Stegostoma tigrinum: one gene and its partner. The protein of the gene in region 2 interacts with the protein of the main gene of each other region in a biochemical or structural test. Links are inferred from orthologs where the notes say so. Each region holds a gene or a part of one and is shown on either strand. Other genes may lie near its edges.

Evidence for each region.
Region 1: of the proteins of mark3a (region 2) and kinase suppressor of Ras 1-like, one has a biochemical effect on the other in vitro, tested with the Homo sapiens proteins (2 studies listed by BioGRID). The link is inferred for Stegostoma tigrinum from reciprocal best matches to the Homo sapiens genes MARK3 and KSR1.

The regions. Positions count from the first base shown.
Region 1 is NC_081380.1:37,782,818-37,791,080, reverse strand, and holds the start of kinase suppressor of Ras 1-like, read left to right. Parts: upstream 1-5,173; 5' UTR 5,174-5,455; coding exon 5,456-5,704; intron 5,705-6,709; exon of another isoform or gene 6,710-7,006; intron 7,007-8,263.
Region 2 is NC_081363.1:40,014,180-40,021,971, forward strand, and holds the start of mark3a (MAP/microtubule affinity-regulating kinase 3a), read left to right. Parts: upstream 1-4,736; 5' UTR 4,737-5,490; coding exon 5,491-5,541; intron 5,542-7,792. UniProt on the Homo sapiens protein: Serine/threonine-protein kinase. Involved in the specific phosphorylation of microtubule-associated proteins for MAP2 and MAP4. Phosphorylates the microtubule-associated protein MAPT/TAU. Phosphorylates CDC25C on 'Ser-216'.

The sequences.
Region 1 (8,263 bases), on a different chromosome or scaffold from region 2:
GAGGGACACTAATATCCTGGCAAGGAGGTTTGCTCGTGCCACTCAGGAGGGTGTAAACTAGTTTGGCAAGGGGATGGAAACCAGACCAATAGGTCAGCAAATAAAATGACTGAGGAGGAGTCTGAGACGAAGGCTGGTAAGGCTAAGAGGAAGAACAGATATTGAGAGGTTTCTGAATACCGTGGGGCTGGTGGTCTGAGGTGTATTCGTTTTAATGCAATGAGTATGACAGATAAGGCAGATGAACTTAGAGCTTGGATTAATACATATAACTATGATGTTATGACTATTACAATAACATGGTTGAGGGATGGATAAGACTAGCAGCTTAATGTTCTGGGATTTAGATGTTCTAGGCAAGATTGAGAGATGTAAACGAGGTAAGGATTCTAATTAAGGAGAATATCACAGCTGTACTGAGGGACAGCACCTTGGAGGGCACATCCAGCGATATGGATAGAGCTCAGGAATAGGAAGTGTACAATAATTTCAATGGGATTGTACTACAGGCCTCCCAACAGCCAGCGGGTGTTAGAGGAACAGATATGTGACAGATTATGGAATACTATGAAAACAATAGGATTGTTGTGTTGGATGATTTTAAGTTCTCCTATACTGACTGGGTCTTGCTGAAAAGCAGGAGCTTGGATGGGGGAGAATTTGTTAGGTGTGTCCAAGATACTTTTTTGAAACTATATGTAAAAGTCCAACTGGGGAGGGGCCATACTGGACTAGGTATTGGGGAATAAGCCTAGGCAGGTTATTAAAGTTTCAATGGGGTGGAGGTGGGGCATTTTGGGAACAGTAACCATAATTCTGTTAATTTTAAGTTATTTAAGGATAAGGACAAGGGTATTCTTTGGTGAATATACTAAGCTGGGGGATAGCTACCTACCACGACATTAGGGAGGAACTGGGAAATGTAGACTGGGGGCAACTGTTTGAGGGTAAAAAACATCTGGCATTTGGGAATCTTTTAAAGGCCAATTGATTAGAGGTCAGGAACAGCATGTTCCTGTGAAAGCGAATTGCAAGATTTGGGAACCTTGGATGACAAGAGAAATTGAGAGCTTAGTGACAAAGGAGACATATGTAATGTTTCGGAAACTGAAGGCAGACAGACCTCTCCAAAAATACAAAGACAGCAGGAAATAGCTTAAATAAGGACGGCTAAAAGGGGCCATGATATGACTTTGGCAAACATGATTAAGGAAAATCAAAGAGATAATGGGAACTGCAGATGCTGGAGAATCCAAGATAACAAAGTGTGGAGCTGGATGAACACAGCCGGCCAATTAGCATCTTAGGAGCACAAAAGCTGATGTTTCGGACCTAGACCCTTCATCAGAAAAGGGGGATGGGGAGAGGGTTCTGAAATAAATAGACAGAGAGGGGGAGGCGGATCGAAGATGGTTAGAGGAGAAGATAGGTGGAGAGGAGACAGACAAGCCAAAGGGGCAGGGATAGAGCCAGTAAAGGTGAGTGTGGGTGGGGAGGTAGGGAGGGGATAGGTCAATCTGGGGAGGACAGACAGGTCAAGGGGGCGGGATGAGGAGAGAATGAAGGAAATAGAGGTGCAGCTTGAGGTGGGAGGAGGGAATAGGTGAGAGGAAGAACAGGTTAGGGAGGCAGCGATGAGCTGGGCTGGTTTTGGGATGCAGTGGGGGAAGGGGAGATTTTGAAGCTTGTGAAATCCACATTGATACCATTGGGTTGCAGGGTTCCCAAGAGGAATATGAGCTGCTGTTCCTGCAACCTACAGGTGGCATCGTTGTGGCAGTGCAGGAGGCCCAGGATGGATATGTCATCCAAGGAATGGGAGGGGGAATTGAAATGGTTCACGACTGGGAGGTGCAGTTGTTTATTGCAAACCTAGCGTAGGTGTTCTGCAAAGTGGACCCCAAGCCTCCGCTTGGTTTCCCCAATGTAGATGTAGCCACAACGGGTACCGCGGATGCAGTGACCCACATTGGCAGATGTGCAGTTGAACATCTGCTTGATGTGGAAAGTCTTCTTGGGGCCTGGGATGGGGGTGAGGGAGGTGGTGTGGGGGCAGGTGTAGCACTTCCTGTGGTTGCAGGGGAAAATGACAGGTGTGTTGGGGTTGGAGGGGAGTGTGGAGCAGACAAGGGAGTCTTGGAGAGAGTGATCCCTCCGGAAAGCAGACAAGGGTGGGGATGGAAAAATGTTTTTGGTGGTGGGGTTGGATTGTAGATGGTGGAAGTGTCGGAGGATGATGCGTTGTATCCAGAGGTTGGTGGGGTGGTATGTGAGGATGAGGGAGATTCTCCTTTGGCGGTTATTGTGGGGATGGGGTGTGAGGGATGAGTTGCGGGAAATGCGGGAGACAAAGTCGAGGGCGTTCTCGATCACTGCGGGGGGGATGTTGTGGTTTTTGAAGTACATATATAAAAGTTAGGAGGTTAGCTAGGGAAAGGGAAGGTCCACTCAAGGACAAAGGAGAGAATTTAAGCAAGGAGCCAGAGGAAGAGGGTGAGTTCCTTCAAGAATATTTTGCAATGTATTCACAAAGTACAAGGATATGGTGAGTGGTGAGTCTTTGGAGAGATATGTTGATAAACTAGGACAAGTTTATATAAATAAGCAAGAGGTGTTGGGTCTTTCAAAAAGCGTTAAGGTAGACAAGTCCCCAGAACCGGAAGGGATCTACCTAAGGATGCTGAGGGAGACAAATGAGGAAATTGCTGAGGTCTTGAAATCTTTGTATCCTCTTTAGTCACAGGAGAGGTCCCAGAGGACTGGAGAATAGCCAACTTTGTTCTTATATTTAAGAAGCATTTACTCAGATTTGAAAAAAATTGGCCTTATTCAATGATTGGTGAGGGCAGGATGATTCATGTTGTCCATGTGGACTTAGCAAGCTCTTTGACGAGCTCTCTAATAGCAGACAGGTAGAAGAGGTGAAGTTTTATGGGATCCTAGTGAGTTGGTAAGATTAATACAGAACTGGCTTAGCCTTAGAAGACAGAGAGTAGTGTGGAAGGCTTCTGACTGGAGATCTGTGACTAGTGATGTTCTGCAAGGATCAGTGCTGGGACCCCTGTTGTTTGTAACATATGTAAATGATTTGTAGAAGAATGTAGGTGGCTTGATTAGTAAGTTTATGGGTGACACAAAGATTGGGGGAGCATTGGATAGTGAGGAGGATTGCCAGAGATCATATCAGGATATAGATAGGCAGGAGACGTGGGTGCAGAAATGGCAGGTCAAGTTTAATCTTGAGGAATGGAAGGTGATACGTTTTGGAAGATCTAAAGCAGGATGGAGGTATACAGTAAACGGCAGAGCCCTTAGTAGCATCAACATACAGTGGGATCTAGCTATACGGGTTCACAGTTCCCTGAAAGTGGCAAAACAAGCGGGCAACATGGTAAGAAGGTGTATGGCATGCTTTCCTTCATCAGTCAGGGCATAGAGTATGAAAATTGTTGCAGCTGTATAGAACTTGTTTAGGCCATCTTTGGAATTTTCACACTATTCTTATTGCCACACGATATGGAAGATGTGAAGGCTTGGAGGGGCAACAGAGACAGTTTACCAGGATGTTGCATTATTTGGAGGGTATTAGCTATGAGGAGAGATTGGACAAACTTGGTTTGATTTTACTTGAACATCAAAGGATGTGGGGTGACCTGATGGAAGCTTACAAAATTCCAAGAGGCATAGATAGAATGTGTAGTCGGATTTTTTTTTCCCAGACTAGAAATGTCAATTACCACAGGTCTTGACTTAAGGTAAAAGAAGGTAAAATTTAAAGAAGATGTGGGAAGCATGTTTTTTTACACAGAGGGTGATAAGTGCCTGGAATGCTCTGCCAGAGGAGGTGGTGGAGGCAGATACAATAGCAACATTTAAGAAGCATCTTGCCACATATATGAATAGGCAAGGAATAGAGGAATGTGGACTGCATTGAGGCAAAAGGTTTTTAATTTAGAAAGGCATTAAGTGTTGGTGCAGTCTTGGTGGGTGAAGGGCTTGTTCTTGTGCTGTACTGTTCTTTGTTCTTTATTCATTTTCCTTTCCATCACCTTCTCTCTTTCCCAATGTCCCCAGCCACTGTCCTCAGGAAAGGCACCAGAATTGGGTAGTGGAGTTGGTAGATAAACACGGAGGCTGCCAACACCATCTTTTTATCATCTTGCCTTTGTTCTGTCCTGATTTGGGATAGGGAAATTCAGACCCTTGTCAACATTTAAAACCAGGTTAGATAGCAGATTGAAGGAAAAAGAATATAAAACATGGAAATAGAACGATTGTTCACATGGAAAATGAACATTAACATGGACTGGTTGACTTGCCAATTTGGCACTTTTGTGTTGTGAATTGATATGTCAATAAAGAGCCTGATATATTTCCAGGAATATCACAATCCTGAAAGTCATGCATCATAATTGAATTGTTAACATTTTGAACATCTAAGGTCAGCGCTATGCTCGTATAATAATTGGAATTGGCCACTGAAATTATTCAGGTGTTGCAGCATAAGTAATAAGTAATCTATTATGTTTTATTCTTGCAGGATATTTCACTTTGAGATTTTGAGTGGTTGACAGGTGCTGTGGAGACTTGTGATCATATGTCTGACAGACGAAAATCTTGTTCGTGAAGGTTTGTGGTTTACTTTTCAAATACAGGGAGAACTTCTGTTAGACTTGTGATTATTTACGGGTACCGCAGCATTGTTTAGCAATTGCCACACTATGAATGTCAAGAACATTTTTGAAAAGGGTGTCCAACTAGATCAACAAGTCTTGGGATTCAGGAAAGCAAGGGGACACCAGTGATAGCAAGGAAATCTGCGAGTACGGGAACGAGTCGCGATCAGTTAACTTGGATTAGAAAAGCTGTATGCAGCATGTTTATGCCGTTTATTGAGCTTTAAGGAGAGTCTGTTATGGGGTTTGTGGGGAGGATGAGGGAGGCATGGCGCCTGGCGGGAATTGTAGTTGGATTTCTTCAGCCTCGGGGCGTGACTACAAATCCCAGAAGGCAGAGCGAGAGGTGCTGCACCCCGGGAATTGTAGTCGGTTTCCTCCCTGTCTTGTGGGCTCTGCCGTGGAAATTGACAACAAATCCCAGAAGGCAGAGCGCGTAGTCCCATAGCAACCGCTCACGGCCCCCTCCCCCCACACCGCCGAAGGGGAAGAGGAGAAGAAAATAAACGAAGCTGATCCATAGTATTAAGCGGCGTCTGGAGCTTCAGATGGGCTGCTGTCACACAGGAGAGGGACACTTACTAACTTGACAGCTGCATTTTTACTTTTGCACGTGTTTAGTTCAGCTTAATCATTTCAATAGATCTATATTTTCTGCAGTTTTCATGTTTTCTGTGTGAGGAAAACTTTTTTTTGTGTGGTGGCGGTTGTACTGAAATTAGGGTTCGGGAAGGGGGGAAAGGGGGGAAGACAAATATAACCAGGCCGAATGTTTAGGAATGGCTGAAGAGAACAGCAAGGGTCACAGCAATAAGATAAAGAAAGCTACGGTTGCTGAGGAAGAGGGGAGTGAGGAAGAGGAGGAGGACGAGGAGGAGGACGAAGGGGAGCTGAGTTTGGAGAAGGCCCTACAGCAGTGCGACCTGAACCAGGACATGATCGACATCAGCATCTCCAGCCTGGAGGGGCTCAGGACCAAATGTTCCGCTTCCAACGACTTGACACAACAGGAGATTCGGATGCTGGAGGTAAAACTGCATCCCTTGTGCTCTTTTTTTTGGTGGGGTGGGGACGAACATCCCGCCTTTGGAAAGAAATATAAACAAACGAGGAGAAGTCTGATGCACATGCAAACTGGGGCAAGTGAGAACAGAGGGTGGAAAACTGTCAGACACCCTCCACCCCCGTGCAGGGGCTGCAGATGGGGGAAAGATGAAGCTTCTGAGACTCAGACTTTTAGATTTAAAGCAGTACCGTCTGTTTTTCTAATGAATTCAGAAAATGGGTGCTTATGAAGGATTTACTTATTAGTCGTAATCCAGATATTTTGCACCTGCATGTATTATGCAGAGTCCTAGAGCACAGAACTGTGTACAACCATGACTGGAGCACACTGTCTGCATTGTTGATTAGGTGTGTAGAGTCATAGAGTTGTACAGCACGGAAACAGACCTTTCGGTCCAACTCGTTTATACCGAACAGAGCTTCCAAACGGACCTAACCCCGTTTGCCAGCATTTGACCCATATCCCTCCAGACCTTCCATACCGGTCTTTTATCTGACCTCCGAGATAGTAAGAATTGCCGATGCTGGAGTCTGAGATAAAAAGGTGTGGAGCTGGAGGAACACAACAGGCCAAGCAGCATCAGAGGTGCGGGAAAGCTGACGTTTCGGGTCCAGACGTTTCCTGCTCCTCTGAAGCTGCATGGCTGCTGTGTTCCTCCAGTTCCACACCTTGTTATCATTTTTATCTGACCTCGACCAGTTGCTGCTATTGAGAATGAAATCAAATGCGTTGCAATAATATCCGTTAAGATAAAAATTGTCCCAAGGTTGTTGAATTAAAATCCTCGCCCTTTATATCCGGACTTTGAATTTTTTTCCCGTTTGGCAAATTGCAGCAATTATTTTTGATTGTGAGCGGTTAACCAAGTCGTGTATAATTTTGTATTGTCGTGATGCTTTCTGTGCGTGGAAAACTACACAAAACTTGTCTGGTGGCAGGAGGTCTTAATTTTAAAATGTTACGTGTGTTAATTTGGAGTTTACTCACGGTTAGCCGTTTAATTGTGTTATTCACAGTCTTGGTTGGATGTTTTCAACTGAGACCAACAGCTGACGTTAACCCTTAATCCCCAAAACAACACATGTAGGTGAGCAGAGAGATCTTTTAGCAGCTTTCACTGCACAACTGACTTTACTTGTGCCTGGGTCGTGAGGATTCACAGATACTCCACCGAGATTGTCTGTCTAACTGTGTGGATCTATATATGTCAATGTGTCGCCTTGTAACAATCGTGTCAGCAGTTTGGTTTTGATGAGTGTTCCCGGTAAGCCGCTGTTATAACTCGCTTTGGAAATGTTTAAACCTGTCCAAATAGTAGTGTGCCTTTGGGTCTTTTTTTTTAACAAAAAAAAGGCGGCAGGACTCTAAGTTTCAGCAGACATGCTAGGAATATAATGGTGAATTTTCTGCCAGGCGTTCGGAAGGCTGTTAAATTTTATGTTTTCGAAGATTGGGTGCCGGCCCCTAGGCCCATGTTGATCAGACGCTGACTACAGTGCAAGGATGAGATCAGCATAACCTACTTCTCCCGAAATGTACCGTCGCAACACTGCAGCACTCGGGTGCCAGTTGTAAGCAGTTGTATTTTCAATGAAGATCAGGTTTTTTTGGCGGGGTGGCAGCAAGGAAGAAAGACGGGCCATGTTCCGAGGTTCTCGGGAATTTTCTTTAGGGTGTTCAAGGATTTTTTTGATGTTGTAATCTAACGTGTTTTCCAGTTGACTACTGACCAAGATCTCACACCAGTGTTAGCCATTTCTCTGGATAATAGATGTTCTCTGGCGGACATGCTTTGTTTTGTGGGTACTGGGTGGCAGCAGTATGAAAACCCTTTCTGCATTATTGGGGAATGAAGTAATAACTAGTCTCCACAGTTGTGTGTTGCGGCTGTTTCTAAAAATAGAGCAGAACAACTCCCCCTCGTTCTAGTTACAACGTGATAAGTATATGCCACAACCTCGAAAAGACTCTCCTTTGCCATTGACGTGATCCGAAAAGCAGTTGAAATGTAGTAATTCAGTTCCAAATGGTTTTTTAAAAATATAAATATATTTGATCTAGTTCTTCACGAAAGTACTTCTGGTCATGCCTCGGTGATAGAGGAATGTCGGTGACGTGCTGGGAATGGTTGCAACGTTGGGTGGGGGGCGGCCGGCCAAGGCATTAGATTACATTGCCTGTGTTTAGTTGAGAAGGATTGTGATGCCTTGCCTACTGTATTACATTTATCTAACTTTTTAGTATAAGTTTGGCCTGCATTGTATGGAATTTGCCTACTAAATGCTGTATTGAGCAGAGAATGTAATTGGATGGGCTCCTTGAGTTTTGTATATTCTCATAACCAATCCTCAGATTTTCTTTGTTTTTCAATATGCATATTTGATCATTTGTGCAAGCCTTGTATAACAGATTTCACATATTTTGGAAGGAATTGTAGCGGGTGTACTTTAAACAAACCCAGATTTCAGCATGTCACAAAGCAGAGGACGACTTTATGTTCAATTATGGAGTTATATGCATT
Region 2 (7,792 bases):
CGAACAGAGTTGTTGCCTCTGGTTTGTTGCCCATGCCACGTGCTAGTGAGGCGAGGAATAAGGAGAGAGAGGAGTTGAACATGTGGCTACAGGGATGGTGCAGGAGGAAGGGTTTTGGATCCTTGGATAATTGGGGCTCTTTCTGGGGTAGGTGGGACCTCTACAAGCAAGATGGTCTTCACCTGAACCAGAGGGGTACCGATATCCTGGGGGGGAAATTTGCTAAGGCTATTCAGGTGGGTTTAAACTAATTCAGCAGGGGGATGGGAACCAAGATTGTAGTTTAAGTATAGAAAAGGTTGAGAGTAGGGTGGTCCGAAATAAAGTTTCAGGGAAGCAAGATGGCACCAGCAGGCAAGAAGTTAGTTTGAAGTGTGTCTACTTCAATGCCAGGAGCGTCCGGAATAAGGTGGGTGATCTTGCAGCATGGCTTGGTATCTGGGACTTCGATGTTGTGGCCATTTCGGAGACATGGATAGAGCAGGGACAGGAATGGTTGTTGCAGGTTCCGGGATTTAGATGTTTCAGTAAGAACAGAGAAGATGGTAAAAGGGGTGGAGGTGTGGCATTGTTGGTCAAGGACAGTATTACAGTTGCAGAAAGGATGTTTGGGGACTCGTCAACTGAGGTAGTATGGGCTGAGGTTAGAAACAGGAAAGGAGAGGTCACCCTGTTGGGAGTTTTCTAATGGCCTCCGAATAGTTCCAGCGATGTAGAGGAAAGGATAGCAAAGATGATTCTGGATAGGAGTGAGAGAGACAGGGTAGTTGTCATGGGGGACTTCAACTTTCCAAATATTGACTGGGAACACTATAGTTCGAGTACTACAGATGGGTCAGTTTTTGTCCAGTGTGTGCAGGAGGGCTTCCTGACATAGTATGTAGATAGGCCAACAAGGGGCAAAGCCACGTTAGATTTGATACTGGGTAATGAGCCTGGCCAGGTGTTAGATTTGGAAGTAGATGAGCACTTTGGTGATAGCGATCACAATTCTGTTATGTTTACTTTAGTGATGAAAAGGGATAGGTGTATACCAATGGGCAAGAGTTATAGCTGGGGGAAAGGCAATTACGATGAGATTAGGCAAGATTTAGGGAGCATAGGATGGGGAAGGAAACTGCAGGGGATGGGCACATTAGAAATGTGGAGCTTATTCAAGGAAAAGCTCCTGTGTGTCCTAGATAAGTATGTACCTGTCAGGCAGGGAGGAAGCTGTAGAGCGCGGGAGCCGTGGTTTACGAAAGAGTTGGAATCTCTGGTCAAGAGGAAGAAGGCGGCTTATGTTAGGATGAGATGTGAAGGCTCAGTTAGGGTGCTTGAGGGCTACGAGGTAGCCAGGAAAGACCTAAAGAGAGAGTTCAGAAGAGCCAGGAGGAGACATGAGAAGTTGTTGGCTGATAGGATTAGGGTAAACCCTAAGGCTTTCTATAGGTATTTAAGGAATAAAAGAATGACTAAAGTAAGATTAGGCCCAATCAAGGATAGTAGTGGTAAGTTGTGTGTGGAGTCAGAGGAGATAGGGGAAGCGCTAAATGAATATTTTTCAACAGTATTCACTCTAGAAAACGACAATGTTGTCGAGGAGAATACTGAGATACAGGCTACTAGACTAGGTGGGATTGAGGTTCACAAGGAAGAGGTATTAGAAATCCTTCAGAGGGTGAAGATAGATAAGTCCCCTGGGCCAGATGTGATTTATCCTAGGATCCTCTGGGAGGCCAGGGAGGAGATTGCTGAGCCTTTGGCATTGATCTTTAACTCGTCATTGTCTACAGGAATAGTGCCAGACGACTGGAGGATAGCAAATGTGGTTCCCCTGTTCAAGAAGGGGAGTAGAGACAACCCTGGTAATTATAGACCAGTGAGCCTTACCTCAGTTGTTGGTAAAGTGTTGGAAAAGGTTATAAGGGATAGGATTTATAATCATCTAGAAAAGAATAAATTGATTAGGGATAGTCAGCACAGTTTTGTGAAGGGAAGGTCGTGCCTCACAAACCTGATTGAGTTCTTTGAGAAGTGACCAAACAGGTAGATGAGAGTAAACCGGTTGATGTGGTGTATATGGATTTCAGCAAGGCGTTCGATAAGGTTCCCCACAATAGGCTATTGTACAAAATGCGGAGGAATAGAATTGTGGGAGATATAGCAGTTTGGATCGGAAATTGGCTTGCTGAAAGAAGACAGAGGGTGGTAGTTGATGGGAGATGTTCATCCTGGAGACCAGTTGCTAGTGGTGTACCGCAAGGGTCGGTGTTGGGTCCACTGCTGTTTGTCATTTTTATAAATGACCTAGATGAGGGCGTAGAAGGATGGGTTAGTAAATTTGCAGACGATACTAAGGTCGGTGGAGTTGTGGATAGTGATGAAGGATGCTGTAGCTTGCAGAGAGACATAGATAAGCTGCAGAGCTGGGCTGAGAGGTGGCAAATGGAGTTTAATGCAGACAAGTGTGAGGTGATGCACTTTGGGAGGAGTAATCGGAAGGCAAAGTACTGGGCTAATGGTAAGATTCTTAGTAGTGTAGATGAGCAAAGAGATCTCGGTGTCCATGTACACAGATCCTTGAAAGTTGCCACCCAGGTTGACAGGGCTGTTAAGAAGGCATACAGTGTTTTAGCTTTTATTAATAGAGGGATCGAGTTCCGGAACCAAGAGGTTATGGTGAAGCTGTACAAAACTCTGGTGCGGCCGCACTTGGAGTATTGTGTACAGTTCTGGTCACCGCATTATAAGAAGGATGTGGAAGCTTTGGAAAGGGTGCAGAGGAGATTTACCAGGATGTTGCCTGGTATGGAGGGAAGGTCTTATGAGGAAAGGCTGAGGGAGTTGAGGCTGTTTTCGTTAGAGAGAAGGTTGAGGGGTGACTTAATTGAAACATAAAATAATCAGAGGGTTAGATAGGGTGGATAGGGAGAGCCTTTTTCCTAGGATGGTGACGGCGAGCACGAGGGGGTATAGCTTTAAATTGAGGGGTGAAAGATATAGGACAGATGTCAGAGGTGGTTTCTTTACTCAGAGAGTAGTTAGGGAATGGAACGCTTTGCCTGCAACGGTAGTAGATTCGCCAACTTTAGGTACATTTAAGTCGTCGTTGGATAAGCATATGGACGTACATGGAATAGTGCAGGTTAGATGGGCTTGAGATCGGTATGACAGGTCGGCACAACATCGAGGGCCGAAGGGCCTGTACTGTGCTGTAATGTTCTATGTTCTATATGACCCAGCAATGACGAAAGAATAGTCATACCAAGACAAATCAGGAAACTAAATCTAAGCACAGTGAACGACATAGCCAAAATAATGGAGTGAAATCTGAAAAAGACAAGCTCAAAATATAAGAGATAACAAGGTGTAGAGCTCGATGAACACAGCAGGCCAAGCAGCATCAGAGGAGCAGGAAGACTGATGTTTCGGGCCTAGACCCTTTTTCGAGCTCAAAATATACATTGTTCTGATCAGAGTACACCATGAATAATTTCTGGCCACCCTGTCAACAAGGCAGACATGCAGATACTGCTGCTTTTGTCATCTCAGATCCAGTCTGCTGCTCCCTTAACATCTTTGCATTCTCTACTGTCTAGAAACTTGCGCACATCCAAAGCATTCCTGTCATTTTCCTATCCTATTCCATGTATCATTCACCCAGCACCCCTATCCTTGACAGCTACAATACCGCTCAACACCTTAAATATAAATTTGTTATTCTCATACTTAAATCTCTTTGTGGCCTCAACTTGCATCATCTTCATAGCCCTATAACCTCCCCCTAAACACACACTTGACTCTGATCCCTTTCCTTCCTTCACTACTGATAGTCAATTTCCAAGTTTTATTTTATTCTCCACGAACTCTGTTCCTGTTCTTTGAAAAAGATGTGGATAATTCCTTCTAAAATCCCTTTCCTCATCTCTCTGTCCACTTCTTGCTGATTCAGTTTTTGTGAAGCACTTCGATCAAGACTTTAATAAACGTTATCATTGTGGAATGTAATACAAGAACCATGCGACAGAGGAATCAGGCATGCACAGCAACTAGAGAAATATGAACTGTTAGAAAGGCATCATTTCAGAGGTGACCTAGATATTCGAACGAAACTTTAAACCAAAAATAGTGACAATGAGCTGATCTGGTCCGATTCCGGGAGTTTGATTTTGCTTTAAATAAGTTGCCTGTTCGCGAACGTTCTACTCAGAATGCAACAGAACTGGTGAATGGATTTACAATCCGTCGCGTTTCAATTTATAAATAAAGCACACATCATGATTAAACTAAGAGGCGGAGCGAAGAACACGCCTATTAAAGATGATCCCTGTGGTGGGGCAATAGGAGAGGAAAGGTAACCAGGTTTGAAAGAGTTTCACGAACAGCCGCATTCCTATATAATTAGGCTCCTCAATGAACAGTTTATTTCAGCGAATCAATGAGTCGACCTAATCTAATAATAAGTTGTTAAGAGTGTGGCCTTGGGCTCAGGCCAAAGGAAGGATGTTTCCGTCTCAATTACTGAATGGAAGGGATTCTTTGAGCCAGGGCGTCGAACTTGTCTAACAGTATGAGCCTTCCCTGACGCACTGCGGCCCCGGCCTTTCCCTCAGACTCCAGGCCAAGGCCCGCCCTCCACCCTCCTGTCCAGCCTCCTCCCTCTTTTAGCCGGCCCCGGACCTGGCCCTCACCTGTCCTCCCTCCTCACAGTCCGCCTCCAGCCGCCCCTTTCCGCTCCCGGCAGCCGGTGGGCAGGAGGCGGCGGCTGACGCGTTTCCTGCCGCAGCCCTGGGCTTGGCGAGCCGTCGGAGCCGGGGCGGCCATTTTCAGCCGGACACCCCCCTTCTCCTCCTCCTCTCCACCCACTCCCCTCCCCAAATCTTCCCTTACCCCACCCTCCCTTCTTCACCTACCTACCTCCAACCCGGCGGCCTCTGACCTCCTGCACTCCCCTCCCCTCCGTGTGCTCTCCATGTTAGAGGCTGAGGAGCGGCGTCTGAAACGTCCTGTCTCTCCCGTCTGGAGCCGGGAAGCTGTGCGGCGGCGCCGGCGGCGCTATCTGCTGTGGCAGCTGAAGCCGGGCCTTGTTATTTGAGGCTGAAGGAAGCGAGTGGTGGGACTGCAGCAGCAGCTGCTCGCTTCTTCTTATTATTCTCCTCCTCTTCCTCTGGGGCTGGGGTGAAACCTGGCAGTCGAGTGTTTAACAGCTCCGCAATCGACAGCGCTTGGAAACCACTGGGTTTGAGTGTCTAGATTTTTGTTTTGGGGCGGGAGGTGAGGAGGGAAAAAGATGTGGACGCACCGAAAGGATATTCAGCTTTACTAGGCGTGTGTTTGGTAAACGGCTGCTGGATGTCACCGGGTACAGTCGGTCGGGCCGACTTCAGCTGAAGCCCAACGCCTCTGAACATTTCGCTCTCATGTCCTGTTGAACCGAGTCTTCTGCAATTATTTGGGCAACGGTGCTAAATTGAAACCAGGAGGGGCAATTGTTAAAAAAGAAACAAAATGTCTACTCGAACGCCATTACCTACGGTGAATGAACGTGAAACAGAGCATGTAAGTCATCTTTATTGGGTTACAAGACACCCCGGAAAAGGGAGCACGGGCTTATTGTACACCCACCGTATTTGTTTGAAGGACTAAGTGTCCAACTTGGATCATGGTTTGGAAACGAATTGCTAGTGAACTGGAATAAATGTTGAGTTGGGTTCTTTTGTAAAGCTTCTCTGCAAATTTTGGGTGTTTACTGTTAAGTAGTTAGCATGTCCTGATGCTTGGCTTTTTATATTTAGTCTTGCTGTGCGCCTATACTGCTTCCTTTTTTCATCTCAGTCCGTGTCAACACGGCGTGAGGAAGCCGACAGATGTCGGGACACATCACGGAGGTGTTGGATTTGACCGAATTGGTTTTCAAGTGAGCCGCTAGGTCATGTTTTTGGAATTGACCGTCCGAAAAACAAGTATATTTAAAAATTGGTCCCATCGTTATCTTGTTAAGAATGTATTGTATTTGAGGGCCGTTCAAAGGTTGAGCTAAGCGTTTAAAGCCCCACAGTTACTAGCTTTAATCTTTTAAGACGTTTAGCATGCCTCTTGCAAGATCAGAAGGTGTCATGAATTGTACGCTTTGTGTATCGCCTTAGAGAATTAAAAATGATCGCATCATTACGCAGCTGGAATATTTTAAACAAATTCTGCTAATGATTGAAAATATACTTAGGATTATGGGGTGCATTAAATATGTTGGTTCTGAAGATAGCATAAAACCTGTATAACAGTTATTAAAATGTTGTATTATCACCATGAGCTGAATTTGCTATAATATGTTTGTAATTCCTTTTCAATTGTGAACATGTCCAGGAAAGCTGATTTATAGATATTGTCCTTTTAAATGTATCTGCAGGGCACTGAGGTGTGTAATAGAAGAAATTCTGATGTCTGTAATCTCATTCCAAAAATCCAAAGTGCTCTGAGCAACGAAGCTCACTTGTGAGCATTTTTGAAATATACCCACTTAGTTTTGTGACAGCCAGTTTGCGTGCAGCAAGGGGACCTGGTGAGTTTGTTGTGGAACTAATCTTGTCCAGGACCTTTGGAGGTTCTGAAGAGTGGGGTCAGTCGCTGAACCTCTGAGGTAAGATGCAGTTGAGTGAGGTTATATTCCATCTCTAGTAGTGGCAGCAATAATTAGAGTTGATGCACTTGCTGATGTTAGTCTTATGTCTTTTAAAGACAATTACTTTAGCTTCATTTGTAATGGGAGAGAAATTGGGATTTTGCAAGAAGTTTGTCTTGTTCTGGACAAACTCTAATGTTACATGTATGGGATATCATCACTTTCCAATATACTCTCCTTTTTTAAATATAAACTACTTGGGATGTGCTTTTTTCACAAGAACCAACCAACAGAGGTAAAAGATATTAATCTGTTTTAGTAATGGTGGCTGAGTTGCAAATCTTAGCCAGGAGATGGGAAGTTCTCCCCCTTAAACTGCTGTAAACTTACTCAGTTGCACCCAAAATAATTTGTCAGGTCTTAAAATTAATTTGGATAGTAGTTTTTAACTGTACCAGTACATTCAGTTATGTGACTCTTCTCTCTTTTGAGACAAAAGAATGTCTTGGGTTACCCAGAAACTAGCTGATTCTTGAAGTGCTGTTGAGCATGAGGCTGTGCTCACCATCACCTGGAAAATGTAGATGTGCACTCTCTCTTGATTTGTAGATTTGGCCAGTTTATGGGACAGATAGGACAAAATGGTAATGTCAATAGACTAATCCAGAGGAAAAACCAAGAACTGCAGACGGTGTAAATCAGGAACGCAAACAGAAGTTGCTGGAAAAGCTTAAGTGTGGCAGCACCTGTGGAGGAAAAAAGCTAATGTTTCGGGTCCAAGGAATGGTCACTGGAACTGAAACGTTAACTTCTTTCCTTCACAGGTGCTGCAGATCTGCTGAGCTTTTCCAGCAACTTCTGTTTTTATGTAATAATCCAGAGGCCCCAGCTAATGACTCGTGATGCTGGTGGAATTTAGAATTTATTAGCATTTGAAGTTGAAAGTTGTCTGTTTCAGTCATTATTACTATCATTGCACAAATCCCTTTAGTTTACTATAATAAAATGTGAGGCTGGATGAACACAGCAGGCCCAGCAGCATCTCAGGAGCACAAAAGCTGATGTTTTGGGCCTAGACCCTTCATCAGAGGGGGATGGGGGGAGGGTTCTGGAATAAACAGGGAGAGAGGGGGAGGCGGACCGAAGGTGGCGAGGGGATAGGTCAGTCCAGGGAAGACAGACAGGTCAAGG